2 linked regions of the Medicago truncatula genome follow. The protein of the gene in region 1 binds, or shares a complex with, the protein of each later gene. Links are inferred from orthologs where the notes say so. Each region holds a gene or a part of one and is shown on either strand. Other genes may lie near its edges.

Region 1 (16,745 bases):
ATTAATTTTCTAAAAATATGATCATTCATATTAAAGTTTTTTGTGGTGATTAATTTAAATTGAAGACATTTTTTTGGAAGCAAATAACAATCAAACTGCCAATGAAATGGACCTGCATATAGCTGGTTTGTTATGATTTTCCTTTCATAAACCAACAAATTTTAAGTATTTCAAAGCCCCAGATAATCATGTATGTTATAATACTCATCATAAACAAACAAGAAACCATATGATAGCGTATAACTTGCTCACTTAATAGTTAAATAGTCTATAGATTGATGAATTTGTTATGTTACTCATCATAAACAAACAAGAAACCATATGATAGCGTATAACTTTCTCATTTAATAGTTAAATAGTCTATAGATTGATGAACTGAATGATCGAACAATAGACGGTTGAAAATTGAAATGATAGTTGATTATAAAAAAAGTGGTTAAAGAAGACTGCAGCATCAGCATGCATTACCTGAGCAAGCATAGATTCGTCAAGGACATCAGTTAGGCCATTTACTTCATGGCTAGGCCCCAAAGCTTCAGCTTTGATTGTTTGCCATTCCCTAATAAGGGTTTCCGCTTCTTCCACAGGCATCAGCCTCCTATACACATTAATAGGGGAGGATGATGAGGTAAGAGTGCTGTGTAAACCACTTCGGCTTTCAGCATCTGGCCGGCGCAAAAACTGCATCTTAACCATTGAAATAAGTCCCTTCAGTTTGTTGCCAACAGAACTTCGCCTAATATAGGTAGGGCCTACAGTGTAGTTAGCAGATGAATTTGTAGTCCAAGAAGTAGAAGTGTGGGCTTTTTTGAAAGCCAAGTTAGAACCATTCTTGCCCAGGTTCATTCCCAACAACTTCATACAAGCAAATGCAATACAACCCAATATGGTAATGTGTGTTATTCTTTCAAATACTTGAGCACGAGTGAAGTGATTATTCCAAATTCCATTGTGATGAGTGCTAAGGTTCCTTTTCACTTTAACAGTTTGCTCACTTTGATTGACTCCGTTTTCATTTTTGCCAGATAGCAGTGAACCCTGCAAATCAGTAGGAGTCAGCTGCTTGACAGCAAACCCCAAATTTGAGGAAGAACTCATATATGAGCGAGGTTCCTCAAAATCTTTTCGTTCTACAGAACCAGATGAGGATAGAGGCCTATGACATATAGTAGGAAACATTTGTGGAGATCCTTTAGAATTCTTGCTTCCAGAAAATTTCTTTTGAGCATTAAAGAAATTGGCCTGCAGAGATGAACATCTGTAAGTAACATGTCAGAATCAAAGCAACAAATTAGTTTCGTTCACTATAGTTGATCTTACCAAAGCTGGAGAACAACCTTTAGTATCTGGATATAAATCAAGCGCAGAATCCTTCAGCCACAGTTCCTGCCAATTCAGCAAAAAACTCAAAATTATATCATAGAACCTTAAAATAAAGGATAAAAAGAAGTTCTTGAGCCATCGAATTTTAGCTGTTATCTCATGTAAGAATATAATATACACTGAAGAAATATTTCCAGAAGCTAAATAAAAGCTGAGGTATTTTCTCTCAACAAAATCTCATTTTCAATTGAAAAACTAAAAAGAAATGAATCTTAGCATACGGCGTTTAGGTTAGACTTCACTGTCTTTACATAAGCATAAAACTATTCCAAAACACACTAATTTTGAAATCCATGCCTCGATTAATAGCACACAATGAGAACATAGGGCGCTAGGGTCCTCAAGAGAGTCAAGACTAAAAAATGGGAGGAAATGGCATCACTAAGGTCAGTCAAGAAATTTGTGTAATAAAGGCACCTAAGCATTTTCAACCCACGTCCTGAAGGAAAACAAAAATAAGAAACTGAATGAACATGATGACAAGAGAAATACCAATGATGGGTTTACAGCTGAAGAATCCATTATTGCCTTCCCCAAGACTGAATTACGTTTTGGATTTGAGTTCAGCTCAAGCTGCTTGAGCTTTTCAACTGCCTCTTCCTCTGTGCCCTAGATTGAAGATAACATTAATGAAGCACGATGTTGTAGAATCTCGCAGAAAATTGGAAAGTTGGAAAGAAAGAAAAAATATTGCTGCAGGAAACCAAGATTCAAATACAAAATGTCTAAATACTTCATAACAGCAGCTCCAATAATTAAGGTTAAGACGATAAAAACATACCAGTCCAAGAAGGAATAGGCAAAAAGCTTCTTCAAATTTTAGATCAATGCCCTCTGAAGCTATCAAACATTCGCATATGCTTTTTGCTTTGTTAATCTGCATATAATTTATAAAAAGACTTGGTATCAGGATGAAATTAAGAATGTCACTGTTTGAGTACGTAAGCCCAAAAAGAGTACTTATGATACAAGGAGTATAGAAGGGATATTAAAATGCTTATAAGCTTTGAAGGAAGGTATTATTGAAGAAGGTTATTACCAACTCTTTTTGCTTGCTGGAAAATCCAAGTGCCATATGAGCTGTAAAAACTCTATAGAAACAATTTGAATCAATTACTATCCTTAGATTCTGTGATTCAATTGTCTTCTTATTCTTTCGCATCACAGCTAAGCTATCCCAAGGAAGAAGATCAACTATCTCATTAGCCAGTAAATTGTGAAATGCTTGGCTTAGAAAAGAAGGCCAGTCCTGTACTTGGCATGAAGCTTCAACATCAAGACCCTGTCTAAGCAATTCGCGTAAAGCTGCAATTGCTCCTCGTCTTCGTTCAACATTTTCAGGGGTATTTGGCACACTCAATAGCTCCAAGGTGCAGGCGGGGGCCAGCTCTTCAAGAGATTCTTCAATCTATACACCATTAAAAGCATTCTCAGGGTTGTTCCATGCATAATATACCGACATGGAATGTGATAATACACAAGATGGATGAGGCTAAAGTCTTTTAAATTGAATGTGGTTTCCAACCATAATTGCACAATGGTAAATTCTCCAGCCAAAAAGATGATATAAAATATGAAAATGACATGAACATAGAATTGATAGAAATACGAGATAAGTATACGGTGTTCCATGATAAGGTTGGATATTCAGGAAGCTGATTTAAATTATCTGTTATCGGAGCTTTTTAAATTATAGAAGCAATAAATCTAATATTGAAATAGAAATGATCATCTTCACTAAATAAGTACACCACATTATTCCTAGACTTCATGGAAATTCCCAATGTTCTTGAATTAGAAACAAAAACTAGGGATTACAACAATTTTACACCTGTTTAATTAATGATTCCTTTTTCTTTGTAGTTGAAATGAGAGGTGGAGTTTACAGGCTTATAGCCTAATCTTTTCCTGGTAAAATACTACATTTGTCCCTAAATACATAAATATTAGACCCTGTTGACTAAATCATGAAGACTAAGAAAGTTGAAAGTAGTATTAAATTAAATTTATTAACAATTGGTATAGTTTTTCCAAGTTTACCCTTTATGAGAGAGGGTGAATTTATCTTTCCCATGACAGTATTTATTGTTTATTAGTTGGTTCTAAAAAAGGTGGAAAATTAATAAGAAGTATTATGCTGATAAAGAAATAATTAATACACTTCAAAATTTGAAGGGGACCCATAAAAAGGGACATGATAATTTCTCAAGAGGAGCCTATGTTTAGGGTCTGAGGTAATATATACTAAGCAAACCAGTCAGTGAATATACACTTAAAAAAAGTTTCACACCTGAGATAAGAGTGTCATTTTTGCAAGAGATGGTTTACTTCTTAGAAGACACTGGGCACGAGCAAGAGCTTCGAAACCTTGAGATACTTTGTTCTTCTCAAAGCCAATTTTCGCAACTGTACACTTCAATAAGACACCTATGATAAGAATAGGGTATATAAACAAGACTGTTTTAAATTCAGATAGTAATTTTCCAACCTCTGTCCATATGTCTTACCTCAGCTAGTGCCATAGAAAGAACTAAATCATCTGCATATGGCTTCGCATCTTGATGCTGAAGACTCGTTCTTCCAATGTCCAGCACAAGCTTTGATTCTCCAATCTGAACAGAAGGAATAGAGAAGTAGAAGTCAAATATTTCCAGAAAACAGGGAGAAATTAATACACGGTCATCGGGAAGAAAAAAAATTTAAAAAGACCAAGTATGTGCCAAGTGTACCTCTTGAAGAAGGCATAGAGCACCGGGCAACCAAGACCAAGGAATACGAAGGGAAGGTTTAGGGGGAATCTTTTCCTTCAGGTTACCAGCATACTCTGGCTCAAAAAGGAGCTTATCCCTAACATCCATCAGAAGATCCTGCAAAGTAATATTAGATGAGAGCAACAAACAACAACAACAACTCAGTTACTTTATCTGCGTCTCTAAAACCAATTTTAGCAAAACATAATTAGTTAGTGGTGACATCTATACCTCGCGAGATGCAACAACGCCCATTGTGTAACCTTCGTCAATTTCTGCATTTTTTAAACTCATAACTGCCTTAACAATTTCATCTTTCTCAGCTCGATCAGGAACGCCAATAAGCTGCAAAATGAACCAAGTGGTCTAGAACAAATCTCAAAACAATAATAAAACACTCATCATAACTAATGAATCGTCTCAAACACCAACTCCTTCATAACATGGAAAACAAAAATGCAAAGGGTGGATATGTTCAAACTTAGTTGATGATATAAAACATATGGAGTTATCCAATCATATTCAACGAGCCAAAATTGCAGAATAAAACTACCCCTAAATCTATGTTTATAGCTTGTAACTTTCTTTGGTCTCTCCTTTACCTCTAATTATAAGACTATGCACGCTCTCCTCATCTACTTCTAATCTACAGGTCTTCGCCGAACACATCTCCATTTTTTCTCTAATAATTTCATTTCTAATCCTATCTTGTCTAATATATCCATTTCTTCCTCCATTGTAACATTCTCATAATCTCATCACTGCAGCAATAAGTTTACTTGTTAGGTATTTTACCATCCAACATCCAATTTCATAAAACATCATCCGTCTTATTATAAATGAATACCAAAGATTTCTTTAAGCTTAGAGTTATTTCTCTATCACATGTCAGTTATCACCTATGTAGCACCAACACTTCAGATCAAAAACATGCACAAATATCTAACATGTGTCAGTGCCTGCGCTGACAATCTCATCATTACAACAATAAGTTTAGTTTCTTGTTAGTTATTTTACCTTCCAACATTCAATTCCATGCAACATCCTTTATCTTATGATAAAATAAAGAGAATTAACATCAAGTTTTATTTTAAAGCTTGAGTCATTTCTCTTTAACATATCAAATATCACTTATGTAGCACCAACACTTCAAATCAAAAACATGTACCGGTATCCAACATGTGTCAGTGTCCAACACTAACACGGGTGTTTAAATACAATCACTTCTATTTTCTTAAACTATTACCAGCGCCTACATGTCTGTGTCTATATATGTGTCATTTCTAACATTTCAAATTGAAGACGTGTATGAGTATCTAACACGTGTCAATGTCTGACATTGACGCATGTGTTTAGATACAATCACTCCTATTTCCTTAAATTATTATTACTAGTGCCGTGTGTCTGTGTCATGTCTAGGGTCTGTGTCAGTGTTTCACCGGGGCGGTCATCACTCCCAATCATTCCTCCAATTCATCAAACTCACTAAGATCCTATCATTAACATCTAATTACTTCGCAAAAATGGCGATGATAATTACAATGACGAATGAATAATCAAACAAATTAAACACACAAACACGCAATTAAACTAACAAACACCAATTTGCAATCACCTGATAACACGAAACCGGAATTTCGACTGTCGATTTCAACACTTGATTTTCAACAATGCGATTATTATTACTATCACCAAATTTCAACTTCCTCCGTTCAAGAACAACATCACTTTTCCCAGCGTGAGAACAAACACAAAACGCAGAACCACAAAATCTAGAACCAATTTCTCCATGTGAACCTGGAAAAGGAGCTTTCGTGATGCGAGCAACGCTATACAGAGAAGGACCGATCACTGCAGCATTAGCCAGTGCCATGAGCGAACTCTCATTCCCCTTTCTTCAAAACCCTAATTGTTCAGTGAAATTTCAACATTGTTGAATTGGAAATTCGTAACACATTGGTTTGAGTTTAGAAATTGTGAAAAGTGATTTGGAATTTTTGTTATGAAGAAGAAAAGAAGAAGTGAAGAATTGGGGGAGAGAAGTGTGTGTGAAAAACGTTGGGTGAAAAAGAGGGAGATTACGACAAATTAAAACAAGTAGTAATAATTATTGTGGATTTTTTTTTTCTCTTTCGTCTTAATTAAGAGTTAAGATCCTCTCCATTTATTATTCTCTCGATTTCATCCATTCGAAAAGATATAGATAAAAAAAAATTCAAAAAATTAAAAAGTAATTAATGATGGTGGGATCCACTTAAAAGTAGGACCCTGTGTCTATCTCTCTCCAAATTGCATACTCCATTTATTATACCAAATGGAGAGGATTGTCGAATTAAATTAACTTAATACATTGGCACGGGATATCTAAGATCAGTCTCGCTTAAGTTGTGATTTTGTGTTATTATAGATCACTGCTACAACTAGACTAGTGTTATAAGCGGCCCAAAGATAATCGTGCTACTACAAATCATCGTTGTAGTTGGACCATGGCTATAAGGGGTCAAAGAGGATAATGTTACACAATGGTTGAATTAAATGACCATGTAGATTGTGTAATAATGCATTAGCACACACGATATATTATATCTATTGCACTTAAGTGATGATTTTGTGTTACTATGGATCACTATTATAACTGGATCAATGTTATAAGTAACCCAAAGATGATCGCGCTACTACAAACCACCGCTATAATTAGACCATGGATACAAGGGGCCCAAAGTGGATTGCGTTAGACAATGGTCGAATTAAATTAGTCTGTAGATTATGTAATAATGTGTTAGCACACGATATCTCACATCTATCGCACTCAATTAATGATTTTGTGTTATTATCATTGTTATAAATGGGATTTTTATCTTTTCACTTCAAGAATTGTTCCCTCACACCCCAAAAATACCGAAATACCTTCAACGACAGTTAACTGTCGCTCTCTACTAAAATGCCTTTCAACGGCAATTAAATTCGACTAATTCATTGAGCAAACGACATTTAGCTGCCGTTTAGGGTATTTTAGTATTTTCAAGGTGCGAAGGAGCAAAATTTTATGTAAGATGACTAGAATCCTTGTAATTGGAGCAATGATATAAGCGGCCCAAAATAATCACATTTTATAAAGGTTGGATTGGATAAGCTTATACATTGTATAATAATGCATTGGCACACTATAAATGCATATGATCTGCAGAAAAATGAAGGACATGATAGCTCGATTTGTGCAGTGTTTGATTGTTAAACTATTTCAAGGACAAGACAAATTGGGGTCAAGGGTAATGACATGTCATCTTACGTTATTTTCAACATATTTTTCAGTCATTTTATTTAGGTTTTGATCCAATTTAGAGGATATTTATAACAATTGTCTATGGTTTTTGGAACTTTTTGTAACGTTTTCATTTTGAGTCAAGCAATTCTAGTTTCCCCAAAACCAAACAGTTCTTAGGTTTCATGATGTAATTCAATGCAAAATAATGCAAATTGACAAATCAAATCATCTCAAGAGAATTTGGGAAGACAATGGATGATGATTCAAAAAGCATCTGAAGACATTACAAAGAGAATAAATTCTACTTCGAGTCTCAGGACAAGTTACAAGGAAGAAAACACTCAGAAAGACTAAAAAAAACCCAAAAACACGCTGTTGAGTGCTGATGTGACACCCAGGGTGTGCGAAAACTGCACTAGCGTGTGAGGTGCGCCTCTAGGTGAAAAACAACAAAAAAGACACAAGTAAAATACGTTTATGCCCCCAGCGGCAGTTAACAGCCGTTCAAGAATACGCCGGCAATTAACAACCGCTGGAGCCAGCGGCAGTTAACTGCCGCTCTCACTAGTTAGCAGAATCGGTGCAGCCTGCACTGGTTTTTTCCAGGAAATTTGTCTTGTTTTACCTATAATTTCGAACGACAATTCAGGAGGAAATCAAACCGAAACAACAACATCAAGCAATCACAAACATCAATATTTCATAGTTTATCAATTATTCGGTAACATTACACAAAACCGATAATGCGTTAACGTTTCACAATTGTTTGAAATCCATCAAATTTTTCACATTGTGCAACACATTACACGTAATGTACATTAATTACTAATAAATGCGAAACTCAAATATATATATATATATATATATATATATATATATATATATATATATATATATATATATATAGTTAAAGGTTATTACATATCACCCAAAAAATTAATCATTACATTATATATCCAAAAAATACGTCGGCACGTATCGACTAAAAAACAGATTAACACCGACCAAAAAGTGTCATATTTCATCTAACAAAAGCAAATAATCTAAATGTTCCAGAACATCTTCAAATTCTTCATTTTCTTTAACTGGAGTGTCATCAAACATAATTGGATTGTCTTCATTTGTTGGTTCTTTTGGTGGAATCGGTCTCTCTTTGTCCTCAATCTCCATGAGTGCTCGGAAACGATCGTGTTGATCCAAGAATTCATAATCCCATGTTTTTGCCTCATCGCTCCTATGATTTCTCCACTCCGTGGATGATGGAGGTAGTGGACAACCAACGAAAGAAGGACAAAATGATTTGGGATTAAACCAAGGCAAATCATGTTTCCACACATCGGGTCGAAAATAAATGAGCCGTGTCCACTTCGTTGTCACGAAGTTTCCACACATCGGAATTGACGCTTGAAGCCTCAACTTTAACGGAAGCTTCGACCTTAGCGAGAGCTTCAACCTTAATGGAATCGACAACTCTAGGTTTTCGATCACCCGCATTCTCAACCTTATCTATAAATAAACAACATACAATTACTAAACTAATTAATAAACATGTATCTAATATCATATAATAACATAAACAAAAAAAAAACAAAAGGAAAAAAAATTGAAATTTTTTTTTTGGGCAGTAGCACTGCCATTTGACAATTTTGAAAAAATTTCTAAGTTACCAGCGGCAGTTAACAGCCGCTCAAACCCAACGGTGGTTAACTGCCGCTCAAGCTTGTGACAGTACAAAACAAAATAACCAGAAAAATCAATCAAATGTAATGGATTTTAACGTTGTAATACCTGTTATTTGATGCATATTGTGTGTAGAAACGTCATAGCAATCGATCAGCAATGATTTGGAAGCAAGATTTTGACAAAAAAAATTTGATAAGGGGATTTTTTTTTTTGGTATGGTATTGGTGGTGTAAGGTGATGAATGAATAGGAGAGGTAGGGGTTTTCTGGTTTTTGGGGGAAAAACCAACGGCAGTTAACGACTGCTGGGGGCATAAATGTATTTTACTTGTGTCTTTATGAACTTTTCTATGTCAAGAAAACACTTTTCTTTTCTCTTGCAAATTTGAGGAAAAGGCCTAGTTTTTTTAGCCCAAACCCACTTGAAAACCAGCCTAAAAATACAACTTTTTCAAAACATGAAAAATGTATTTAAGACTCTTACGAATATGAGTGTAAAAATGCATGGTCATGCTTAACTAAGTTAATACGAGATATTGAACTTCCTTAAAAAAAATGAGATATTGAATTTATTCTTTACTCAATATATTTCAAAACCAAGAAATATAAATATTGAACTATACATAGATTACACAATCTATATGTTGTTTTTTGTTATAGGCATAAAGGGAAAAGAAGTAATTATATCCATTATAGTTATCACATAAAAGTGTTGTCAGGTCACATGACATTCTTGTCACTTGGATGACACTTATGTGTCGATAATTCCTATTTATTGTATATAATATTAACTTAAATATGTATTATTTAATATGATTACAAATGTTACGAGAACATACAAGGTCTAGCACAAAATACAAATAGATGAGAAAAAAAATTATAAATAAATAAGTCAGCCTTTTTTTTTTTGTCAAAGAGGCTTATTAATAAATTAATAACAAAGATATAATGTTGAAATTGTTTGAAAACACACACACACATATATATATATATAAATGTGTGTGTTATAAAATGGTTTTAAATAAAATTAATGATTTTATTTTGAAATTGTTTCAAAAAGAATGTATTTTGGATTCAAATAAAATTAAAGATATGATTTTGAATTTTTTTTAAAAGAAATATATTTCAAATTTAAATAAAATAAAATACATGATTTTGAAATTGTTTTAAAAAATATATATTTTATTTAAAATATTGAAAAGGTGCACATAAGCGAATTTTTTCAAAAAGTATATGTTTTGGATTCAAATAAAATCAAAGATATTATTTAAAAATTGTTTTAAGAGAAATATATTTTAGATTTAAATAAAATGAAATATACGATTTTAAAATTATTTAAATATGATCTTGAAATTGTTTCAAGAGAAATATATTTTGGATTTAAATAAAATGAAATATACGGTTTTAAAATTATTTAAATATGATCTTGAAATTGTTTCAAGAGAATTATATTTTGGATTTAAATAAAATCAAATATACGGTTTTAAATTATATAAAAATATCTAAGAGATGCACATGAGTGAGTCTATAAATAGAATTCGCAGGGTGTTTAATATCATACCACTTTACAAAAACCATAACTAAAATTATAATCTCTTATATTGTCACACGAAATCCACACAATGGCTCCAACAAATCCCATCAAAAAATTTCTTAAGAAATTTTCATGTCTAGGCAAGAAAACACAAGTTAACAATGATCGTCAATGCCTTGATTCAGATATTTCCCAAGGCTACATTGCTGTGTATGTTGGAGAAAACAGAATCAAATATGTTATTCCAATTTCTTTTCTACATCAACCAGTGTTTCAAAACCTTCTCCGTCAAGCTGAAGAAGAGTTTGGTTTTGATCATGATCGTAAGGGTCTCACTCTTCCTTGCCGCCAAGATGTTTTTGAGTCCATTGTTTCTAGTTTGGATAGATGAAAAATGTTGTAGCTGCTTCGTAACTTTATTTTTTTCTCTCTCTATATATTAATATTCAAATAGATGCAACCTTAAAATGTGTGAGGTTAGTATTTTAGAATAAATTTCCCAAAGAATGAATCTTTGTGGTTTTAGATTGTAATCTAATTTCTATCAAAGATTACTAGTTAATTTCAATTAAAAAAATATATGATTTACTAAAATACTAACCTCACACATCAATTATATGATTTAATACATGGTTACTAGTTAATTTCTAATTTCAAGAAAATATATGATTTACTATCAAGAAATTACTATCAATTATATTGCTAGTTAATATCAATTAAAAAAAAACCTCTGGTTAACCCAAACAACACAAATTTGGCTCTTTCTTACAAAGAGAATCATGTTGTCACAAAAAAAAGTATTATTCTTTCCTATGTTTTCTTAGTGTACCATGCACATATTTATATTTCGCAAGTTAGTTTTTAAAAAATTCTTCTTCTTTCCTAACGTGTTGAGCTTTTGAGTGAGCACCAAGTTATTATGGTATTTTTGTCATTAAATAAATTTGTGAATAAGCAAAGAAAAACAATCGTAAATCATCTTCTATGTGTGTCCTCCTTCTCTTATCGTCAAAATTAAAGGAAGGAAAACAATCATAAAATCATTATATGTTTTCGTCACCTTCATTTCAACAATCATAATAGGAAATGAATATGCAAGATGATTTATAATAAAATTTATATAATAAAAACAAAAGTACACACTTCTTATTTTAAATTATTCGACATGTCTCCTTGCAAGCTTAACTCTGTTAGTAAAAACAATATATTGTATATGTAAGGTCTGAGATTCAAACCTCAACTACCAAAATAATTATTCAACATGTCATTGCAATTAAAGTTGATTATAAGTTATAACCATCACCCTAATACTAATAAGAGTTGTTGTTTATTATTACAATACAATTTATGAGCCTACTAGATTGGAGATAATATAATCCATGTAAGTGGTTTCATTGTCATACAAACACAACCTAATTTATTTATTTATTTTTATAAATTACATTGACTGATAAGCTTATAAATAATAAAAAGGAATTTATTTATTTGCATAAACTATATTGTATAAACTCAAAATTAGCATAATCGAAACAATAATCCAAATTTATAAGTTAAATTAAAACATAACATTAATTACAATCATTTTGCACTTTACTTCTTGTTCATAGGGAACCCGGTCTATTTCAAGCGAACATACTTGTCTGTTTTTTCTTCCTTCTTCTTCAGCTGAGTCGAGTGGAGTGCAACTGTCTCGTCTTGACTAAGTCATTTCCCTAAATCTAAACCCACTCTTGTGTTATTAAAAGAGTTCATTCTCATTCCCGCGCCATATCACAGAAGAAACAACGTTGAATCCAAAAATGGCACGACCAAAAACGAAGAAGAAAACACGCAGCGACGAAGAAGCCGACGCAACAAACCCAGAAACCATAGAACGCAAGAGACTCAAATCCTTAGCATTTTCAAACAACGTGCTTTCAGAAACCAAAGCTAGAAGTTCAATTCACCTTAATCCTTCTTCCATTGTTGCTAAACATCATGGTAAAGATATTATTAAGAAGTCTCAGAGGAAGAGTAGTAGATACCTTTTCTCGTTTCCTGGTTTGTTTGCTCCTATTGGTGGTGGGAAGATTGGTGATCTTAAGGATTTGGGAACCAAAAATCCAATTCTTTACCTCGATTTCCCTCAGGTTGTTTTTTACTTTTGTGTTTTAAAAATTCAATTTTTCAGGGTTTTTGGTTGTGGGTTTGTTTTGTTTTTGAGTTTTGAAGTATGTATTACAAGAAAATTGGGTTTGGTTTATTAATTTTGTTTGTTTGTTTATGATTTGATTGTTTTGAGCTATAAACCACTGACACGGATATTGGATACGATACTGACACGTGGACACTGATAATAATTTGATAAGATAGAAGTGATTGAATGTAATTGTCTATGTCAGTTGTTGTGACAATCAGAAATTGGACACTTTCAATTTGAAGTGTCAGTGCAACTACTACATAGGTTTAGAGTGTAACTCTACTTTCAAATCAAGACTAGGAGATTTTGTCAGCTTTATTAATTTTTTGAATGAGGATTTGATTGTTTTGAGATATGAATCACTGACACTGATTGGACATAGTATAGACATTAGACACTGATATGTGGACACTGGTAATAATTTGAGAAAATGGAAGTGACTGAATATAACCACTTGTGTTGTTATGGTGTTAGTTGGGGACGCCTTCTATTTGAAGTGTTGGTGCTACATAGGTTGAGTGTAACACCACTTGCATAAGCATTGGGCACGATGTAGACACTGATAATGAATTGATTGAATGTAACCACTTGTGGCATTGTTGTGTCGGTAAGACACTGGATACTCCTTCAATCTTAAGTGTTGGTGCTCCTTAGATTTTGAGTGTAACTCTTCTTGCACATTAATGCACACGACACAAACACTTATATGTAGACACTAATAATAATTTGAGAAAATAGAAGTGATTGAATGTAACTGCTTGTGTCGTTGTTGTGTCGGTAAGACAGCAGACACACCTTATGTCTGAAGTGTTGGGGCTTTATAGATTTTGAGTGTAACTCCTCTTACACATTGGACACGGCGTAAACACTAATAACAATTTGAGGAAATAGAAGTGATTGAATTTAACCACTTGTGTCGTTGTTGTGCTGGTCAGACACTGTACAAGTCTTTAATTTGAAGTGTTGGTGCTACGTAGGTTTTAAGTGTAAATCTACTTGAACAAACATTGTACACCACGCAGACACTGTACACATCTTTAATTTGAAGTGTTGGCTACTACGTAGGTTTTGAGTGTAACTCTACTTGAACAAAAATTGTACACGACACAGACACTGACATGTAGACATTAATTTGAGAAAATAGAAGTGATTGAATGTAATCACTTGTGTCGGTTAGACACGAGCCACACTTTCAATCAAGTGTTGGTGCTACATAGGTTTTGAGTGTAGCTCTACTTGCAATTCAGTCATTTAATTTGACTGTTTTACCGGCAGAAATTGTGAGCAACTTATGAAGTTGTTGTAATGGATTTGACAATTTTATTTTGAGGAATGCTATTTCCCACAAAATGCAATTCCACGAATACCACGATCAAGTACAAATTTGCTATCACAATTTTTGTTTAATATAAAAAAAAAAATACACAAAAAGCGGATTTTGTGGAAAACATGGGGGTGGTAGTGTTATTCGCAGGTTTCGTTTTTTGTGATTCGTAGTAAAAAGTATTTCCCTTTTATTTTTATTACTATCAGTTAGCGTGTCAACTGGAATTGTAACAGGAGAGTTGAAGGACTAATAAAAAACCAAGTTTGCCGGTGAAATATGGGTTTAATTTGACTTATTGCAGGACTTTCTGACTGTTGTTTAACGCAAGTCCTACACAAATTTGGTTAATTTGCCTTCTCTGTTTGTTGTCAACTAATCTGACAGGCTCACCTGCAAGTGGCATGCATACCTGGCTGCAATTAACAAAACTTACTTAACTCAGCTAAATGACAACTTGTTGATCTAAATCTTGTTGAACAGTTTCACTTCGTTTGTTTTGTTATGTTTTATATTGGTAACTGACGATGTGTGTTTTCACTTTCCCTCTACAGGGTCGAATGAAGTTATTTGGGACTATCTTGTATCCAAAGAATAGGTACTTGACTCTACAATTCTCCAAAGGTGGAAAGAGCGTGATGTGTGAGGATTATTTTGATAACATGGTTAGTTTTTTTACCATTCATGTTTTCGTTATTATTTGTTTTTGAGACATGAACTAGAAGAAGGTATATTAGTATTCAAATTATAAGGGGACTTGGTGAAAGAAATTTCTTGTGTGCATATTGACTTTCCTTTTAATATATTGCGAATGTAACTTCATTACGGATTTCTTTCTCCTTCATATAATATGCATATCTAGATCTAACAATGCTTGTACTCCTCCCATTCCTTTTTATCCTAATTTCTTGTTGGTCTAGGAATACATACTTTTTGCATTCTTTTTGCTTCTTCATTTACAAATTTGTATCTTCTGGCACTGAGCTTTGTGAGTATGAACACCCACATTCCTTATTTACGAGCAATGTCTTGATTTTACTAGATTGTATTTTCGGATGCATGGTGGATTGGGACGAAAGACGAGAACCCAGAAGAAGCCAAACTGGAATTTCCCAAGGAACTGTATGAGGTTAGGAACTTTTGGAATGTAATAGTTACCTAGTCATAAGAAGGAACATCACTTAGAAATGAAGTCTATATTCTTGGTTTCAGGGAAAACAAACTGAACACGACTTTAAAGGGGGTGCAGGTGCAGGTGCAGGTGCAGGTGCAGCTTCCGTAGTTAATCATGGTGTTTCCAAAACCAAAATAAAACGTCCAGAGCCAGAGTCACCAGAAACACCTCTTGAAGAAGATCTATCAGACAGTGAAATCGAATTAAAGGATACAACAGAGTTGGTTCCAGTTCGCCAGTCAGCGAGAACTGTAAAGAAATCATACAAGTATAAGCTTCTTCTATTTCGTTTACTTGAGTCTGTTGCTCTCCAAAATAAAATCATGAAAAATTAATTTTTGTGCAACAAAACAATATTCTTGCTTTTTAGTTGTTGTTTTAAGGTTATCTACACATACTATGAAAACCAGTACATTTTGTTATTTTTAATGCAATTATTTGTCTTTTTCCATTAGTCTCTTTAACTATCTATTATATCTTCCACCTATTTACCTCTCTGCAATAAATAGTTAAGAGAATTCTTGACAAAACAATAATTAATGTTACATTGAACTTTGAAAAAACAAGTAAAAAGATACCAACATTTTCTATAAAAGTGACATTTAAAACACGCATTTCTCATTTGCTGATAGGGCCAAAGGCCCATTGTTCCAAATTTTTTTAATGTTTAGTTTTTGTGTGATTGTTTTAGGTTTGCGTTATTTAACTTTAAGTGGAACGTCTGATGTAACTAAAAGTTGTATCAAAGTCATACTCATATAGTTCTTTTGTTTGGCCAGATTTGCAGAAATTTCTTCTGGTGATGATTCTGGTAAAAGCAGCCCCGACCTTTCTGAACATGAAGAAAAAGCGGTAGAAGTTGATACTGATGCAAATGATCATACTAGCTCAAATATCCTTAGTGTCATTTCGGCATCCCCGTAATACTAGTGTTGAAAAATGCAAACTGTACCTTTTCTTGCATTTTTTATGTAAAATCTATCCTTGAATTTTGCATTTATTTTTACAGGTACAACAAAAGGACCCTTACAGTTTATTAGTTGATTGGATAACAATTTCAGTTTTATTTTTGTTTTGATCCTTTTTTTTTTGTTACAGACAATCAACCTGAAATTTAGAACTTCATTGATCTTATATTCTATATTATCAGGAAATTTATATTTTATCTTCCTTAATTTAAGAGTACAGAAAGAAACTGCAGTTATTGACATTGACGATGAGGATGATGCTCCAAAAGATCAACTCCCTGTGGAAAATAAAGAACCTGCTTCAGTGTCAAAAGCTAAAAAAGGGTTACTTGTGCAGGCTACTATATCCTCATTATTCAAGAAAGTGGAAGTAAAGGTATGCTTTTGAAACTGTTTGTGCTAGAGTTGGGACTTAGTAACTCCGAATAAATATTTTTACAGCCCATATAATTTTCTAAAGGGTTAATGGTGCTTTACCCCCCTTGT
Region 2 (17,583 bases), on another chromosome or scaffold:
CATATTTTAATGCTAAAGGTTCATTTCATTACGAATATTCTCTTATTCAAAATCACAAAAATGGATAAAATTTATGTCAATTATTAAACATATATGCAATCTGTCAGTCCTAATAACAACCTCAAATCAATGATACATTACAAGGATACACAGCACACAACCAACTCATCAAATTCTTTTTTGTTTTGGTAATAACATAATATATTATACAAACAACTCATCATGTGCTAGAAAATGAAAAAATTAACTGAAAAAATACAATCATTTCCTTCTAAACATGCGGGTGCACCTCTCATTCTACATCTCATCATTGCTGGCTCTCATGTGAATGTTTTCAATCTTATAAAAGGAACACATAACTCTTTGTATTCACCACCCGCCCATAGTTCGCATATATTCTCTCTCCTTTTTTTTTTTTTTTCTATCTCGTTTAAAATTTGTAAGAAAATTAAAGAGAAGATAAAATAAAAGGAGAGAGAATCACTGAAAGAGAGAAAAATGACACTTTCATTTTGGGTGGTCGTGTTCCTTGGTCTTATTTACGCATCTTTTGCGTCAATGGCTTCTTCACAATATGTTGCTCCGGCTCCTGCTCCTGCTCCCACAAGTGATGGTAAGTTTTCATTAAGATTATGATTTTAACATAGGTTTTTCAAGTATTCATAAACTTTATCCTTCTATGTTGATCTCACCATCTTATATAGTTGATGGATGATATTCCAAATTTTGTTCTTTTCCTTGAGAATCAAACTTGTGAAAGTTCAATGATTATAAAATTATAACATAATTCATAAATTCTTGATTTTGATTGTGAAAGATAAGATTTTACCTCATGTTGAGAAACTTTTTTTTGTCTTGATCATAATATCTCGATCAAAAAATTTAAATAGGGTTTATGATTGCAATTTAGACTGCAAAATCTGGTATTTGATGTCTCAATGACCACAATGTGATTGTAGTTGAAGTCGCAATATTCATGTATGGCTGCGATTCTCCAAAATATCAAAAATTGTGATGCGTAGTCGCGATTTGAAATATTTTTCTCATTCGTCTTTGAGTTCGTGTTTCTTTACCTAATTGATTTAGACTATCTTGGGTTTGTTAGTCTAAAACACTGCATGTGTAGTATTGTTAAAAAAACACGAATTAAACCGTTAAATTGAACCGCACCGATAAGAATGAAACTTGTTATTGACAGTTCACAAACAATTCGGTTCATTCAATTTCTGAACTATCTGTTACAATATGATATTTTTGGGTTTACTCTTTGGTTTTTTTCAACCGTTCTAGCCAATATTGTTGTTTGGTTGCAACGCATGGCTAATAATTAAATTGTTCTTAAAAATTTGCAGGAACATCAATTGACCAAGCAATAGCATATGTCCTAATGCTGGTGGCCTTGCTTCTCACTTACATCATTCATTAGGGCATCAACAATGGACTTGTACTTCAATTCTATATCAATACAGATCTTTTTCAAGGGCATGTAACATGTAATAGGAGGAAGAAAGATGTTTTAATTTGACTATTGCATATTTGAATATACTTCCATTGCTCCAAGGATAGTCTCATTCTGATTTTTTGGTTATCTCTATTTATTGTGATTATTCTAAATCATTTTTAGTATTTTTTAAGGGAAAAATCATTTTTTGTTATTGATAAGGAATGAAGGGAAAATAAATAGACAAAATAGAAAGAATGCTGCCTTAGGTTGTCTTTTTATTTTTATTTTTGACAAAACAAAAATAATATTTATTCATTCAAATTGATAAAGTACATTGAATACACCATCGTTAAAAACAATAACAAAATATATAAATACGTAAACAAACGCACATCATCCAAATTAATAGCATACAACATTAAAATCTTACAATTACTATGATAAAATCAAATCAACTAGAATATCTATATCGGTATATCACTAGATCTGCAAAGTTGAAGCTCAAGTTATTGATTGAATTTTTAATTAATTGAAGCTAATGTTTTAATATGAACCAACTAATACCACAACAATATGAGAAATCAAATAATGTCTCACCGAGACATTGAACAAAAAATCGTCGCACTCAAACGACAAGATCACAAAAACACAAGAAAAACGTGTTCGATGAAAAAATCACTTATTTAAATTAAAAATGTACATAAAACTTCTTTTACAATCCCCGGTTTCAGTCCCTTTATTTTGGAGACGATGCAACATTTGAGTTTTGTTCACGGGTTCGAACCCGCACCTCTATCAAGCATATTCACTGTCATTAACTATATGAGTTGTATTTATGGGACAATAGTTGAAATTTCAATCAAAGTAAATAAGACTTATAACATCAGCTAAAATATGTTGAGCTTGTTTTAATAACCCGATAATTATTTATGTTGATGATTCTTTCGTTTAAAATAATGTTATTTCAATTCTTTGAAATTTTATAATTCAATAAGAACTCTCTTGATAATTAGTAATTCAACCGCTGCATTCATAAACTAATTTAGGCCAAGACCCATTCATAAACAATAGACAAACTCATGAGTAAACGATACAAAAACCGCTGCATCAAATTCATTGAACTTAATAACAACCCATTTGTAATTCAACCATTATGTTGACAAGCTTACACATGAGTGGCCAAAGCATACACCTTTGAGAGCATACACAGTTGTTGTTGATGACAGGGGCAAAACTGGAAAATAACTCAAGTTGCACCGTATCCCTTCACTTTCTTCGCATAAGTGGGGAGATTGAGATTTTAGTGGGTCCCATCCAAAAGTTATCACTCTCTTCTATTTCTCTGCTCAACCAAACGAGAGGAGTGTGCCTTCTCTCTTCAACTTCTCTCTATTCAATTTCTCTCTTTCTTTTTTTATTGATATCAAACACAGTGTTAATGAAACTTTTCCGGCGTAGTCACACACCACCCCCCTTCTTTTTACATCCCAAGAGTGTTTAAAGTGTGTCAAAGTATATTTTTTTTGTTTGAGACACTTGACTGAATTGTTCGATACATATCCTACAAATATTTCGTGTAGATGTCACCTCTTATTGTGTCGCAAAAACCCATCTATCTCTTTCTTCTCTCTCAAGGCTAAAATCGATTTCACTCCTATATTTAGAAAATAAAAAAAAAGGACAATCTAAGTGTAAGAAATAAGTAGGAAAGATTGTCAAATTCATCTTCAAATAATTTTCCTTGATTGTTTTAAACTCGTTCTATTTTCTATTTGCTTACATTTGAATATTTAAAACTTGTACTATGTTCTATTTGTTCATGTCTCTTGAACACTTCAACCCTTTAACCATCGGACTACACCTTCGCGGACATAAATGCCTAACTAAAAGTATTAGAGATTTATTGTCCTTTTAAAGACATAAACACATCATTTTGGTCTCAAATTTCGGAGTCTCTAACACTTAATGATGGAATTGAAATTAAATTTTATTTATCGTTTTCCTCTCTAAATTATGGTGGTAATTCAAATTTTCTAGTAGTATGGTGTTCCCTCATATACAACGCAATTGTTCGGTACGAACTCATTAGAGGATTAATGAGAATGATAAACCCTCACATTATGATTGATCAAAGGATCAAATTTGTTGAATGGTAGATGGAAATCATAGCAATGAATAATGACAAAATGTACAAGTAGCTAGATTATTTGTCATCTGATTTGTATAGCGAAGTATTAGAGCTTATTTACATAACTAAGTTGGATAGTTATTCAGTTAGTAGTTTTCCCAAAATATACACGGACTTGACTAGCTAGTTTCTTTGATGATTGTTCAATACACCTCTCAATTTCTCTTATGATCAGGTCGAACTCTCAATCAACTATTTTTGTATGTAAAATTTGATCAGGTAAACTCCTGATCAACTTTTTTCAGCAAGATGAACAATTTTAAGAGATCTATTGAACAATCTTCGTTTTTTTTTCAACATACTCAACTTAAGTTGGGCTGATCCACAACAAAGATTAATTTTTGTTCAAACAACTAATACTATCTGAAAATACACTTCCAAAAATATGTTAAATTTTTGTTTTTTTTAACATGGAGTGAAAAAAAGTTGCTCCCTTATTATTTAATTGGCACACATTTTTGTATGTTTAGTAAATGACACGCATTCTATTCGGTGGTAACGTTTGTCCTCACATACACCTCATTTGAATTGCATTTGTATCCTACTACCTCCCTTTCCAATTATATAAGATATTTTTGAATTTTTTTTGTTCCTTTTTATAAGACCTCCTTGTTATTTCCAATTAAATTAATTATTTCTTTACATATATGTCCCTATTTATTATACATTTTTTTCTTCAATCAGCAATAAATAGCATGTTGAAAATATAAACTATCTCTCTTTCTAAAGGATAAAATTGTAAAATCAATAGTGATTACAAATAACTTTAATACAAATACTCACTTTCTTAATTCCTGTGATTTTGGCAAAAAGGTCTTGTATATAGGGACGGAGGTAGTATTATGTTAGCAAGCAGCTAAAAAACAAAACAATAATCCTCTTTTAACAGCTAACTGTAACCAAAACAAAAGCACTTAGCATTTTTGAACATTCCCTATAAGAATATCCTAATTAATTGATCAACACTAGGTGAATATCCATAACATTTAGCTAGCAATCTCAATTTTTCTTGTTCTCATCTCCTAAGCTAACTTAGGACTAAACGTCACATTGTTACATTATCAAACACATATCAATGCATAGCCATAATAATATATATAAGAGCATACACATAAACACCTAAACCAAATTAACTCCAAAAACCAACTTGAGAGAGTCTTCCTTTTTTTTTTTACCAAAATGGGATTAGAAGTCCTTGAGGCTCTTGATTCAGCTCGTACACAATGGTACCATGTAACAGCTATAGTAATTGCTGGCATGGGATTCTTCACTGATGCCTATGATCTGTTCTGCATTTCAACCGTTTCGAAGCTCTTGGGACGATTATATTACTTTGATCCAAGCACTAACAAACCAGGGAAGCTTCCACCATCAGTTAATAATGTAGTCACCGGTGTGGCCCTTGTCGGAACACTTTCTGGCCAATTAGTCTTCGGCTGGCTCGGAGACAAACTTGGACGCAAGAAAGTTTATGGTGTCACACTCATTATCATGGTTGCTTGTGCCATTTGCTCTGGTCTTTCTTTTGGTTCTTCCGCGAAATCTGTTATGATAACCCTTTGTTTTTTCAGGTTAGTGGTGGATCCAACTTGGTTTTTAAGAAAAATAAAATAATTTTAATAAGAAAAAAACCGGGACAACTTAGTCCCTACCTAAACTACCGCAAGTAAAAAAGTTTGATTTTATATCTTCAAGGGAGAAGGTTCAAATTCGTCGTAATGACTAATAATTTTCCCATTTTGCCATGAATATTTCATGTGATTTAGGTTTTGGCTTGGATTTGGTATTGGTGGAGACTACCCTTTATCAGCAACCATCATGTCTGAATACGCCAACAAAAGGACACGAGGCGCTTTCATAGCAGCAGTTTTCGCAATGCAAGGCGTGGGAATCATCTTTGCCGGATTGGTTTCAATGGTATTTTCAGGAATTTTTAAAGCATACTACCAGGCTCCCCGTTTCAATGAAGACCCAATTTTATCAACACAGCCCGAAGGGGATTTACTCTGGCGATTAATTCTCATGATCGGTGCTGTTCCAGCTGCGATGACTTACTACTGGAGAATGAAAATGCCTGAAACCGGTCGTTACACTGCAATCGTAGAAGGGAACGCGAAACAAGCCGCTGCAGACATGGCAAGAGTTTTGGACATCGAAATCATAGCGGAGCAAGATAAGTTGGCTGAATTTAAAGCAGCAAATGATTACCCTCTTTGGTCTAGCGAGTTTTTCAACAGGCACGGTCGTCATTTAATCGGTACAATGAGTTGTTGGTTCTTGTTAGATATTGCTTTCTACAGTCAGAATTTGACACAGAAAGATATTTACCCTGCAATGGGACTTATTCGTCAAGACAAAGAAATGAATGCTATTGATGAAGTTTTCCAAACTTCGCGCGCCATGTTTGTTGTCGCCTTGTTTGGAACATTCCCCGGTTATTGGTTCACTGTTTTCTTCATTGAAAAGCTTGGAAGATTCAAGATACAGTTGGTTGGTTTCTTCATGATGTCTTTCTTCATGTTTGTCATTGGTGTTAAATATGAATACTTGAAAGACGAAAACAAAAACCTCTTCGCTCTTTTATACGGGCTAACATTCTTCTTCGCGAACTTTGGGCCTAATAGTACAACTTTTGTGTTGCCCGCTGAGCTTTTTCCTACGCGGGTGAGGTCAACATGCCATGCTTTCAGTGCTGCATCTGGGAAGGCGGGTGCTATGGTTGGTGCGTTCGGGATACAATACTACACGTTGGATGGTACGCCAAGGAAGATTAGACGCGCAATGATGATTCTGGCTTTTACAAATTTGATAGGATTCTTTTGCACGTTCTTGGTGACGGAAACTAAGGGACGATCTTTGGAAGAGATTTCGGGTGAGGATGGAAGAGAGAGTGAACTCACTGCAACACCAAATGACAGGGCTCCGGGGATTCGCCAGGACTCAAGAACTGAGAAGATGTGAATTTAATTACATGCTGCAACATCCATGTTTGTTTTGATAATATTATATTAATGTAATAATAATAAATAATGGGGCCAAAATTGATGTGTTTAGCTGGTTTATGATTATAAGATGAACCATAAGTTATATTTTGTTATGTGTTGCTGACAGAAAAATAAACTTATTGTAATGTTTATTTTTTAATGAAACTTATATAGTACTTTATTGTAATGTTATATTTGTTTTTTCTTACATATAATTTGTGTTAAGAAGACAGAAATGAGAAGAGTATACTTCTTCTCACATATGACAGCAATAACCTAGTGTGAACCTCGTTGATGTCAAATAATACAGAAGTGATCTTTGTAGGAGACGTTGATGTTGTGAAAGAAATATAGTACTTGATGCCTAAGTCAATGTTTTGATAATGTATATGAAGTTTTGTCAAGAATGAATGTGTACATATAACTATAAGAGATTCTATCCTAGAAGTTCATCTTTGGGATCAAAGTTCTAGGTCAGTATAGTTTTTATAAAATCATGGTGGCTTGTTTGCTATAATTTTGTCAAAACTCAATGCAAATATAAACAAATTAACTCGTTTTTCATATTCATTGAATGATGAGTTATTCCATGAATATGAAAAATGCATCTTTCTTTATACTTGGGACTAAAGGGAGTATCAAACAAGCACAAATTATTTTATAAACAATGAATTTGGAATGATAGATACTTCAATATAACCTACGAAGTTTGGATACTCTAAATAAGGAGACGTACCCATATAATACGTATTGGATATCGATAATCCGCAGATACATACCACGAAGTATTGAAATTAACTTTTAATTTTTTAAAAAATATTTTGATATTTCACTAATACACACATATACTTATAAGATACTTTATATATATATATATATATATATATATATATATCTTAGAAGAGGTGAGGGGTTGAAAAAAAGACAGTGTTATGATACTTTAGTGGAGATATATATGACTCAATTTAAGATGTGGATAAGTTGAACTGTCTCTAGATGAACCATCCTTAAAAGTTTTTTTTTTTTTTTTGTGGATGAAGGTAAAATGCCCCCAACGACAAGTAATTATGTTTGTTGTTGAACGACAACTAATTGTTGTTTTCCCACTAGCAACAATTAATTGTCGTTTCATTGTGAACATACTCTCTTCAGAATGAAATATAAGCAAAAATGATAGTTGAAAGGTCAATGTATATGGTTAAAAATTTATTTCACATACATCAACGTTTCAACTACCCTTTTGCTTATATTTCATTCTTGATGGAGTATATTAGAGTCAAAAATAGAACCACTCACATATTGAAAAACACTCAAAACACAAATTGTACTCCCTCCAAACTCCAATAAACCAAACTCTATAAAATTTCTTCAAACTCAAGCAATTAATCAAGTAAGTGTTCACAATCTCTAAGCATACTAAACATTGTTAGTTTTATATGATTAGGTATTTTTAATTGCTCACATGTTAGGGTTTTATTTTGTGATATTGATGACTTTTTGGGTAGTTGTTGATCAATTACATACTTGCTTTGAATGTGAATGTAGTTGATGAAGTTATTTATACAAGTGCATTGTGGGTAGTTCAAGAAAGGAAATGACACATTGGACATTGAATGTATATATGGCTGACAACATAGATAAGTTCAGGTTAGGCAGGTTGACCCACACAAGCAGCATACACATAGTGAATGTTGCAGTGAACCTCCATCTAAACAGGGCCGACTTAGGCATATGAACCTCACAGACAGGAACCACATAGGTGGTTGATCCTACACTATATATGCATGAGCATTAGTACGAGGTTCAAGCTAATGACAACCAACATCATGCTCCATCACCACCACCACCACACAACACCCATCACCATACTACCATGACCCACTACCACCTATGGGATTAGGTAGTGGGCATTCTGATTTTTCTATACTGTTTAATTGCTTGTATTATATGTTACCAGAATTTGGATGTGAGAAGTAAGTATAATTATCTTGGTCAAATTTAAGTGTTTTTAAAATTAAGTTTTTTTTTTCTGATTTATATTTGTTAGTTTGCTTTTGTGTTTTAGTGATGCAAACATGTTATGCAAAACATCACACATGGAAATAAGATAAGTATTAGTGAATTGCAACATCAAACAGTGCATATGAATTGATTTTAGGGTCTTGACTCTTGTGCGTGCTTATGGTCTTGTCTCACTTCTTGTGACACCTTTCGTTGAGCGGTGGCATGACAAAACCAACAACTTCCTCTACCAGTTGGGAAATGACCATCACGTTGGACGATGTGTCATGTTGTCTACACATCACGATTCATGGCAAGTTTATCAATGATATGGCTAAAATCTATCAAAAGCAAGGTTATGCTCTTATTACTGAGTTATTTAGTGTGAACGGAGATGATGTTACTAATGAATGCAAAAATATGAAGGGTGCGCGCGTTGAATTTGCTTGGTTGAAGCAATAACGAATATACCGTCAAAACTATCATATTATTTAGATAAACAAAAGTCAAAAAAAGTATTCAACATCATATACAATATAACTCGAATGTGTGGTGTATGGAGTCAAAATTAAAGAGAGAGTCAATAACCATTATATTTTGTGTTTTAGTCAAATTATTTTCGAAAAACGTTTCCATCAAAATAAATTTACACTCTAACAGCATCAGAGCAAGAATTCACACTTTAACGTACAATCAAACATACCGCAAGTCTAAATTCACAAATTCATCAAAATTCAAATTCTCCAAAGTATTTTCCCTCCTATAAAAAAATAGTAATTTTTTTGTGTTGTTGACAGATAGAGAGTGGACTCGACATGGTTATTGTCACCAAAAGATTATTTAAATTCAAATAAAGTAATATACGTGTGGTCACTAGTCACTACAGTACATAACTACTTTAATAAAATAAAATACAAAAAAAGTAAAATACTCATTTCTTCTACAAAAAACGACACAACGTTCAGCCAAAAATTCCTTCCCTTGTCTTCAAGCAAACCCTCACTCTTCATTCTTCATCACACACTTTTTTCGCTTTTTTCATAATCGCGTTCTAAATAATCGCGTTTCGATGAAATGAAATGGAACACGCAAATGGAAGAAGTAGAAGCGATTCTCGAGAAAATCTGGGACTTACACGACAAACTCAGCGACGCTATTCATTCCATTTCACGATCTCATTTTCTCACTTCCGTCAAAACGCTCACGAATTCTGCGCATAACAAAAACGACACTGTTTCTAGCGAAACGACACCGGAGGGTAATAACGGTAACGGTTTTGTTTATGTGAAGGATTTTCGGCCGGTGAATGACGATGTTGATGATGCCGTTCATGAAGCGAAGAGTCTTAATGCTATTAGAACCGCGCTTGAGAATCTTGAAGACCAGCTCGAGTATTTTCATGTGAGTTTTTTCAAATTTTTTTATTTTTTGTTGAATTTTTTGTTTTGAATTTGATTCTAGGGTTTGGTGTATTAAGAATTAGGCGCGAAATTGAATGCTTGATATGTTTTTGCGATTTGAAATTTTGATGAAATTGAATGTTTAATATGAATTTAATTTTTGCTTTGATGAAATTGAATGTTAATTATTTCAAAATTATGTGGCGCTAATCTACACTTTTTGATAAAATTGAATCTTAATTTGAATTTTCACTTTATGATTTGAGATTTAGGTTAATTGACTCTTTGAGGAAATGAATGATAGGTTACAATTGTGTGTAGGATTATTTAACCTTTTTGAATTTGAGTTGATAAAATAATTATTTAATAGGGTTGTTAATTAGCATTGGATGGTGACTGTCAATTGAAGATCGTGAAAAAATAGCAGTTGTTCAAATTTTGATATGCCACAACGCTATAGCGCCGTAGTAACTGCTATTTGACCACATTTTGTTCTAAATAGTGTATTGTGGAACAATAGCGATTAGCTCAAATTTTGCTATGCTATAGTGATATAGGTTGCTATAACTGCTATTTGACAACAATTGTTTATGTCAGAAACTGGTATCAAAATACAATTTGATTGTAGTAACTGACTTTTATTGATGGTAAAATAGGTTTACAACATAAATAGTATTACACCCATATAGAAAATGTAACCACTTTCTCTATTTATTCCTTAAAATAAACAATATATAACTGACATAAAACTGCCATAATAAGAAGTTTAAGAACATCCAAAATGGTGGGTGCTTCACCTATTTAGCACCATACTAAATAGGCACCCCATTGTGGAGTATAACATTTGGGTTGCCTATGGAGAAGGGTGGCTAAGGAAGCACCCTCTCTCTCTCTCTCTCTCTCTCTCTCTCTCTCTCTCTCTTCACTTTTCGCGGCTCCCATTTCATAAATCATAATGAAATAAATAAATTTTGTTGAAATGTAATGATATAGAATTATTTGTGGAACCTATTTTGTAATTTCTTGTGAGGTGTTGTGTTGAATAAAATTGGTGCTTATTAAGTATTACCATAAGATGAATGATGTGGACATAGGTAGCCCATTTAAGCACCCAATATCGGTGCTTTGTCATGGATAGTCTAATGGTATATTATTTTGTTTTTTCTCAAAACAAAATGTAGCCTTTGCTTTATATTGTTTGTAAGTTTTGATTTAGAATATTCTGGTTGAGTATGATGTGTTCTACTAGGCGAGTTTAATTGAGTTGAACAATACTGGCACATGAATATATGACCCCAAGGAATGACAATGTGGGTTGGACAAACGAAAGGAGTGATGAAATGATGAAACATGTCAATAATCTAATCAGATTTGATTAATTATCAATTAGGTTACATTTGACTATCAAACAGAAGGGTGATGATATAACTTCTTGCCTTGTTTCAATATTATTGTATGAATTTTTTAAGGGTTGAATGAGTGATATATTGGTCTGAGAGATTTTTAATTTCAGTTCAGAGTAAATGGTATCTGCAGTAAATTTATGAATTGTGATAATCAAAATGCTTGCAACTTTCCTTGCTATGCCCCAATCATAGTACCAAATTGTTGAATCTGACCCCTAACAATGAACTTTAGGCAATAGAGAAAATTGGAAGGTTGTCTGATAAGTGGGAGCTGTGATATTTAATATGTTTTTTTTTACAGTTTCATTTCATATGTTACATGTGGCAGATATATGTCAATGTTGCAAAAACCAACATAATACTCATTTTTATACTTTATACTATAAACCTGTCTAGGAGAGTAAACCAACTAAGCCAAGCTTAGTTCAGTAAGACTGCTAATGCTACATACCACCAAACTAATGTAATATTGTAACACACAAACACTTAGCATCAAGATGAAGCTTACTATTCCTCTTAGCTTGTTACAAATAGACACCCCAACAGAAAATTGCCTCAACATATAATGCGTGCTTCATAATACATAGCTGGAAAAACAATTACACAAAATTAAACAGCGCATCTTGAAGTCAGGAAGTGAAGTCATCGTTACTGGAAATAGTAAAGATACAACCTATTATTTTTGGAATGCATGATCATGATTAATTTTAAAACATTGTTATTTGGTGGAAATTAGTTTGTTTCACCTCACGCTTTTACTTAATATGCCCCTTGTAGTATGGCATACACAATAGACCATTATTTTTTAACTTAGGAGACCCAAGAGCTTTGAAAACTTGTTGGGAATATGAAAGAGAGCCAAACACATCTAGCTGCTGACAAAATGCATGCGAAATTACAAGTAAACACTAAGAAGTCATGGATTGGTGACCACTAATCACGAAGAAGTAAGAAGTTTATGTCTTGGGATTAATGCTTAAAGTAACTAAACTGTGTGAACATTGAAATTCAGACAAAAAATTTCTATGTTGTAATTATCAATCATCATTTTCTAAATCCAACACTTCCTTACCATTTTCAGTATGATTAGAGCATAGATGGTCTTTGGCTGATGGCTGGTCCCTAGAGTTGGTCAGCTGGTCACCCGAAAGAGAGACGAAGTGAGAAACTGTAAAATAAACCTCTGTTGCAAACCAAAGGGAGTTCTGGTGTGATTTTCCTATGAAACCACTCAAATACCTCCCCGCAAAAATCTCTAATGATTAATATCTAGGTTTTTTTTTTCTTCTGAATTTCAGTTTGTACTCATTGGGTGGCACTATCATGCCGCAAAATTCTCTATTTTGCCGCAAAAGTGGCTGCAACATCTGCTATAGTGAACAGTGACACAATGGAGGGCATTGTATCTGCTATGGGCCATGCTGTGACAATACTATTGTGCAGCAATTCCGTGCAATTGATAATCCTGAGTACGCTATGTACCTAATACTCCAAATTATACTGATAATAGAAGTCAAGTAGCAGTGTAGTACAATTCCAGATCAATGAGAAATACTATTGTTACAAAATTAACATGTATAAGCCAAATATTCTTATACCCATTAATACTTCTAACAAAACAAGTTTGACATCACTTGTATCACATAAATAACCCTAATTCTTTAACGGTCTGGATGAGATAGAGCTCTCTTATTCATAAAGGATTACCCAATTTCAGTAGTAGATAATCAATAGAACTAATGTTCCATGGAACGGCAAGTTTGTATAACAGGGGTAAGTATGGTTTAATGAGTTAATGTAAAGGATTCTTATTTGGTTGATGTGAAGAATAAGATATTTAATTCATAAAATGAGCCGACAATGTATATATGCAATATTCATTGTTTTTTCTGGAACTTGAGAAGGTTTTCCAATCAGTTAATCGCATGCTTAATATTTTTACCATGACTTTTTGGCCACTTCTTGTTTGTTTTTTTAATATGGTTTTGTTCTAAATTAGAATTCCTTTCTGTATGATATGTAGACCATTCAGACTCAGCAGCGTGTTGAGAGAGATGCTGCGATTGCACGTCTGGAACAGAGTAGACTTGTTCTTGCAATGAGACTGGCAGAACACCGTGGCAAAAAATATAAAGTCATTGAAGAAGCTCTTGCTTTTGTTGGAGATGTACATGATGCTAGCGGCCTTGTTTCACCTGAAGTTTTTGGACAACCAAAATGTACAGATGAGAATTTTGTAGCCGAGAAGGGGAAGAGATCTAATATCCTCGTCAATGTTTTTGTCTCAAGTTTCAATTTTGTGAAGAAATCTCTTGGGTTGGATCATATGGGCGGAATAGTAGGAAATGCTGCTCTGGTTGCCGTTAGTATGATTGCTTTGCTTCAGTTGCAGCAGGTAACTAATCATGAACATTCATTTAGGGAAGAAAATAGAGTTCACAGCAACAGAACTATGAGAAGAGCAGCTCACTTGGAGGGTTCTTCGTCCAGTGCCCATTCTGGTAACTTGAATGTTTTTTTGGCTAGAGGATAGGATTAAACCTCTATCAATGTGCTGAAATGACGAGGGTTATGCTTTCAGTCTATCAAGTGATATGTTCATTTTTTTTTTCTTTCTGTGCTTTTTGTCCTTTGTTTCATCTTGATTACAAAGGAGGTCTGAAATCTGGTCTGGTGAAGGGAGAATAGGCTAAAATGGAGGCATAGCTACTTTAGTGAGTTTGCCCAAAAGGGAGTTTGGTGTCATTTGATATATGGTTTTTGTTGCCGCCGAAAGTTTGCACCGGTTGCATAATAGTTGATCTGGTAATTTGTGAGATAGGTAGGTTCTGTTTGCTGATTCACACTTCTGGTGCATATGCTTATACTTAGTTGGATAGCGTCATCTGTGGTAGATTCCTGCACCTTTCTTGTGTGCTTTAGTTTAGAAAGTAAGAATGTCTTTTACCTTGATTTTTCTTGTTCGTTTTGCTTCCCACTTAGTAGAATCTTTTGTGAGAATACATTACTGTTGCAATGAAGGTGATTTTTTTTGTCAATTTTCAAGAAACTGATTATGCAGTACTTTGTTAGTTGTTGTTTTTGGTTCCCTCTTTATTAATCCAACAAATGGTTCCCTAATATTCATATGTGGGTCTTGTGTTAATGAAGATTGATACATGTACTAGTCTATGAAGCACGAGCACCGGACACAGACACTGACACGCTGACACCGCTAATAAACTGAGAAAATCACAATTCAGTGTAATCATATGTGTCGGCGTCGGCCACTGACACGTGTCCGACACCGGGACACGCCTAATCCGGAGAGTGTTTGTGCTTCATAGGTACTAGTGAACAACTGTTTGGTAACGGAAGACAAATGGACTTGGGATATGGAGTCTTAGAAATTAATTCAGAGTTGAATTTCTGGAGGTCAACATTCACTTGTTTAGACTATAATTTATTTGTAGCATGAACTTCAAGAATTATAATTATCAATATTTAAGGGGAAAATATCGTTGGCTTGCCCGTGTCAGTGTTATTATAGTCGAGCTATTCTCCCAAATGGCTTTTAAGGACATGGCTCCCACAGATATTCTCCATTAAAATTGCAAGTGTATTTTAGGCTTAGATCTTACTTGCAATCTTCTAACTGCCCTTCTTTTTGAAGTATCATTCGTGAACAATGGATGGGACCATTTTCTGTCTGTGGATCATTGAAATATTTTGGAATCAGATTCTCAAAGTGTAATCTGATTTTCTTTAGCATTGCTTGGAAATCAAGAACTTCATCTATAAGGAGTTGGGGTTGTAGTGGCTAATCCCTTTTTCCTATATCCTCATTTATTTCTTGTTCTATCAGGTTTTGCTGAGGCCTATTGCTTCAAACTTGATGTAGATTGGGTTGTTTCAGAATCATGACTTCAGTTAAAATGTAACTTATGTGCCATAATTTTATTTTTATCATCCAAATGCGCCATTAGGCTATAACTTCAATATTATTCATGGTTAAAATATAGCTCCAGAATATAGATTACTAATTAAAAGGTTGGTGTACTCCATTTTGTTGAGCTAGTACAACTGAGTGGGACTTTAGCACATGGATTTCACAAGAACATTTTGAAAGAAAAAAAAAAAAAAAAAGGAACATTAAAACAAGTTGACCAGTTTTGCAAACAACAGCTCTTATGAGCTATATAGCTTTTGTATCCCGATTTTTTCATAAACTTTAACTTCCTGATAAACAAAGATAAGTTTATACTAAACTTATTTTTGATAAATAAAAGAACCATGTGTTAAACACCTCCTGTATAAAGGGACCAAGGCCAGTCTGAACCTCAATGCCTGACCTTGGTGGGGATGCTTATGCTATAAAAGAAATCGACCTGGAAATCTACACCAACTTGGACCCCAACATGTACAATTTTGGTTGAAACTGTGTTTTCACTTCTTAACTTAAGTTCACATTAAAAAAGTACTACATATATTTCATTTTTGAAAATACAATTTCAAACAATTTATAGTATCCGTAAATATACTTCCAAAAATATGTAAGAATTTAGAATCGATAGTTGAATTGTAACACCCTCAACGAAGTTATTGAATTCAAGTGATTAATAAACTCTACCAAACAACGAGTCGTTCAGAAGAACTTGAGTTCGATACCTTTATTAAACAATTTTTAATTAAACTGTACTTAAGTTTCGATCAAACTCAGAATAACTATGTCATTTCCCCTAATAATTAGGGGTACCACCCTCCCTATAATTGAAAACATTCAAATAAAGTCATTACCTAATTGGAGAATAATGTCAAAATAGCAATGCCCGGCGGAAGGAATGTCGGCATATTTTCTAGTTCACTTTGCTTTTAGAATTTGACTCTGCCTTTTTGGCTATTAAGGTGTAAAGGGAAAAAAGTATCCCTACCAAAAAACTGGAACATATAATGATATAATTAGCCTCGTCATACTTTCACCTACCTATAAACACTTCTTTTGACTTCTCATTGGATCATGCATGTCTCACATATCATTCTAATTAAAAAAAATTAACGGAATTAAGCTGTTTGAAATGAAGGGAAATTACTTTTTAGACAAATAGACATACCCCAACTTTATTGTTCCAACTTTTTGTACTCATTATCCCGGTTATTTTGCCTTTGAAAATTGATGTTCCCATATGAATGGTGGATATGAAACACCACGAAATTACTAATATAATATTATCGGCAGTTAACTGCCAATAAATTTTAACCGCGGTAATTAATTGTCAATAGAATTTGAAGTTAAATTTATCATTTTATGGTATTTTTTAACATTGAGTAAAGTGTAAAAAGCAACTTTCTTTTTCTTTTACTGTGAAGTGTTTGCACGTCCTTAACCCATCAAATTTGTCCCTAATTTTGTTGGGAGTTCTCAAATAGATTTCTAAGATTATGAATATTTTAAAGAGGTCATTGATTCAGTTGAATTTTACTCATTTTAGTCTTTTTAAGAGTTAAAAGGGGACTAAATTAATAATAAGTGATTAAATATAAGAACCAATTTGATAATATAATGATTAAAATATATAAACATAATTGATAATAAATAGTTAAATATAAAGATTAACTTAATAGCTTAATCAAGTTAGAGGCATTCTTGAGATATTCATAATCTCATGATATATTTGAGAACGCCCAACAAAATCAGAGACTAATGATAAATTAGTCATTTATATGTTCTCAACTAAGAACCACACAACATCAATGGCGGTATGTGTAGCTCCATTTCTTAATTTATTTATTTTTTGTAATAAAAGACGACTAACACCCAAAAATGAAAGAGAGCTATAGAATTACATGAATATTTATTGGCATGCAAGCCTAAAAAATATCATCAAAAGGGAGACTCGAGACCTCACTATAAGGAGTCTCTATAACATCAATGTTAAAAGAATTTTTTAGTTTTTTGTTATGTAAAAGAGAGGTAGAGTGTTGTTATAAATATGAAGAGTTAGTTTAATTTTCTTTACCACAACAGCTCTAGTCTTTTGGGTATATTAGGGCTTGAATAGTTGTGTGTCTTGAGAGGGTTTGCAATTTTCCATGCAAAGATATTAATTGAGAGGGTTTGCAATTTTTTCCCATGCAGAAATTGTAATTAAGAGAAGTTGCAAATTAAGATTTACATCTCTTC

Evidence for each region.
Region 2: the proteins of plastid division protein CDP1, chloroplastic (region 1) and plastid division protein PDV1 are in contact, whole or in part, in a crystal structure (PDB 6JZN), measured with the Arabidopsis thaliana proteins. The link is inferred for Medicago truncatula from reciprocal best matches to the Arabidopsis thaliana genes PARC6 and PDV1. Residues at the interface, in NP_188549.2 of Arabidopsis thaliana: Trp700, Glu701, Lys704, Leu708, Trp729, Leu732, Thr735, Ala736, Lys739, Cys741, Trp743, Phe745, Leu773, Glu775, Ala777, Glu778, Leu779, Asp781, Ala788, Lys789, Tyr790, Ser792, Tyr794, Ile796, Tyr798, Ile815, Ile817; in NP_200140.1 of Arabidopsis thaliana: His264, Leu265, Asp266, Val267, Met268, Met269, Ala270, Arg271, Gly272.

Annotation. Positions count from the first base shown.
Region 1 is NC_053047.1:36,574,230-36,590,974, forward strand, and holds the start of plastid division protein CDP1, chloroplastic, read right to left. Parts: upstream 6,212-16,745; 5' UTR 6,007-6,211; coding exon 5,749-6,006; intron 4,479-5,748; coding exon 4,365-4,478; intron 4,251-4,364; coding exon 4,113-4,250; intron 3,996-4,112; coding exon 3,891-3,995; intron 3,797-3,890; coding exon 3,674-3,796; intron 2,792-3,673; coding exon 2,423-2,791; intron 2,261-2,422; coding exon 2,165-2,260; intron 1,993-2,164; coding exon 1,876-1,992; intron 1,387-1,875; coding exon 1,321-1,386; intron 1,243-1,320; coding exon 469-1,242; intron 1-468. Other genes in the region: auxin-induced protein 15A, read left to right, coding at 10,703-11,005; DNA-binding protein RHL1, read left to right, coding at 12,414-12,743, 14,672-14,782, 15,160-15,246, 15,330-15,559, 16,071-16,183, 16,478-16,635. UniProt on the Arabidopsis thaliana protein: Component of the plastid division machinery required for PDV1 localization to constriction sites. Involved in chloroplast division site placement. Required for the proper formation of FtsZ rings at the division site in nongreen plastids (e.g. etioplasts).
Region 2 is NC_053042.1:9,752,223-9,769,805, reverse strand, and holds plastid division protein PDV1, read left to right. Parts: upstream 1-9,550; 5' UTR 9,551-9,691; coding exon 9,692-10,018; intron 10,019-13,446; coding exon 13,447-13,956; 3' UTR 13,957-14,472; downstream 14,473-17,583. Other genes in the region: arabinogalactan protein 41, read left to right, coding at 499-613, 1,353-1,426; low affinity inorganic phosphate transporter 4, read left to right, coding at 4,812-5,203, 5,399-6,593. UniProt on the Arabidopsis thaliana protein: Component of the plastid division machinery.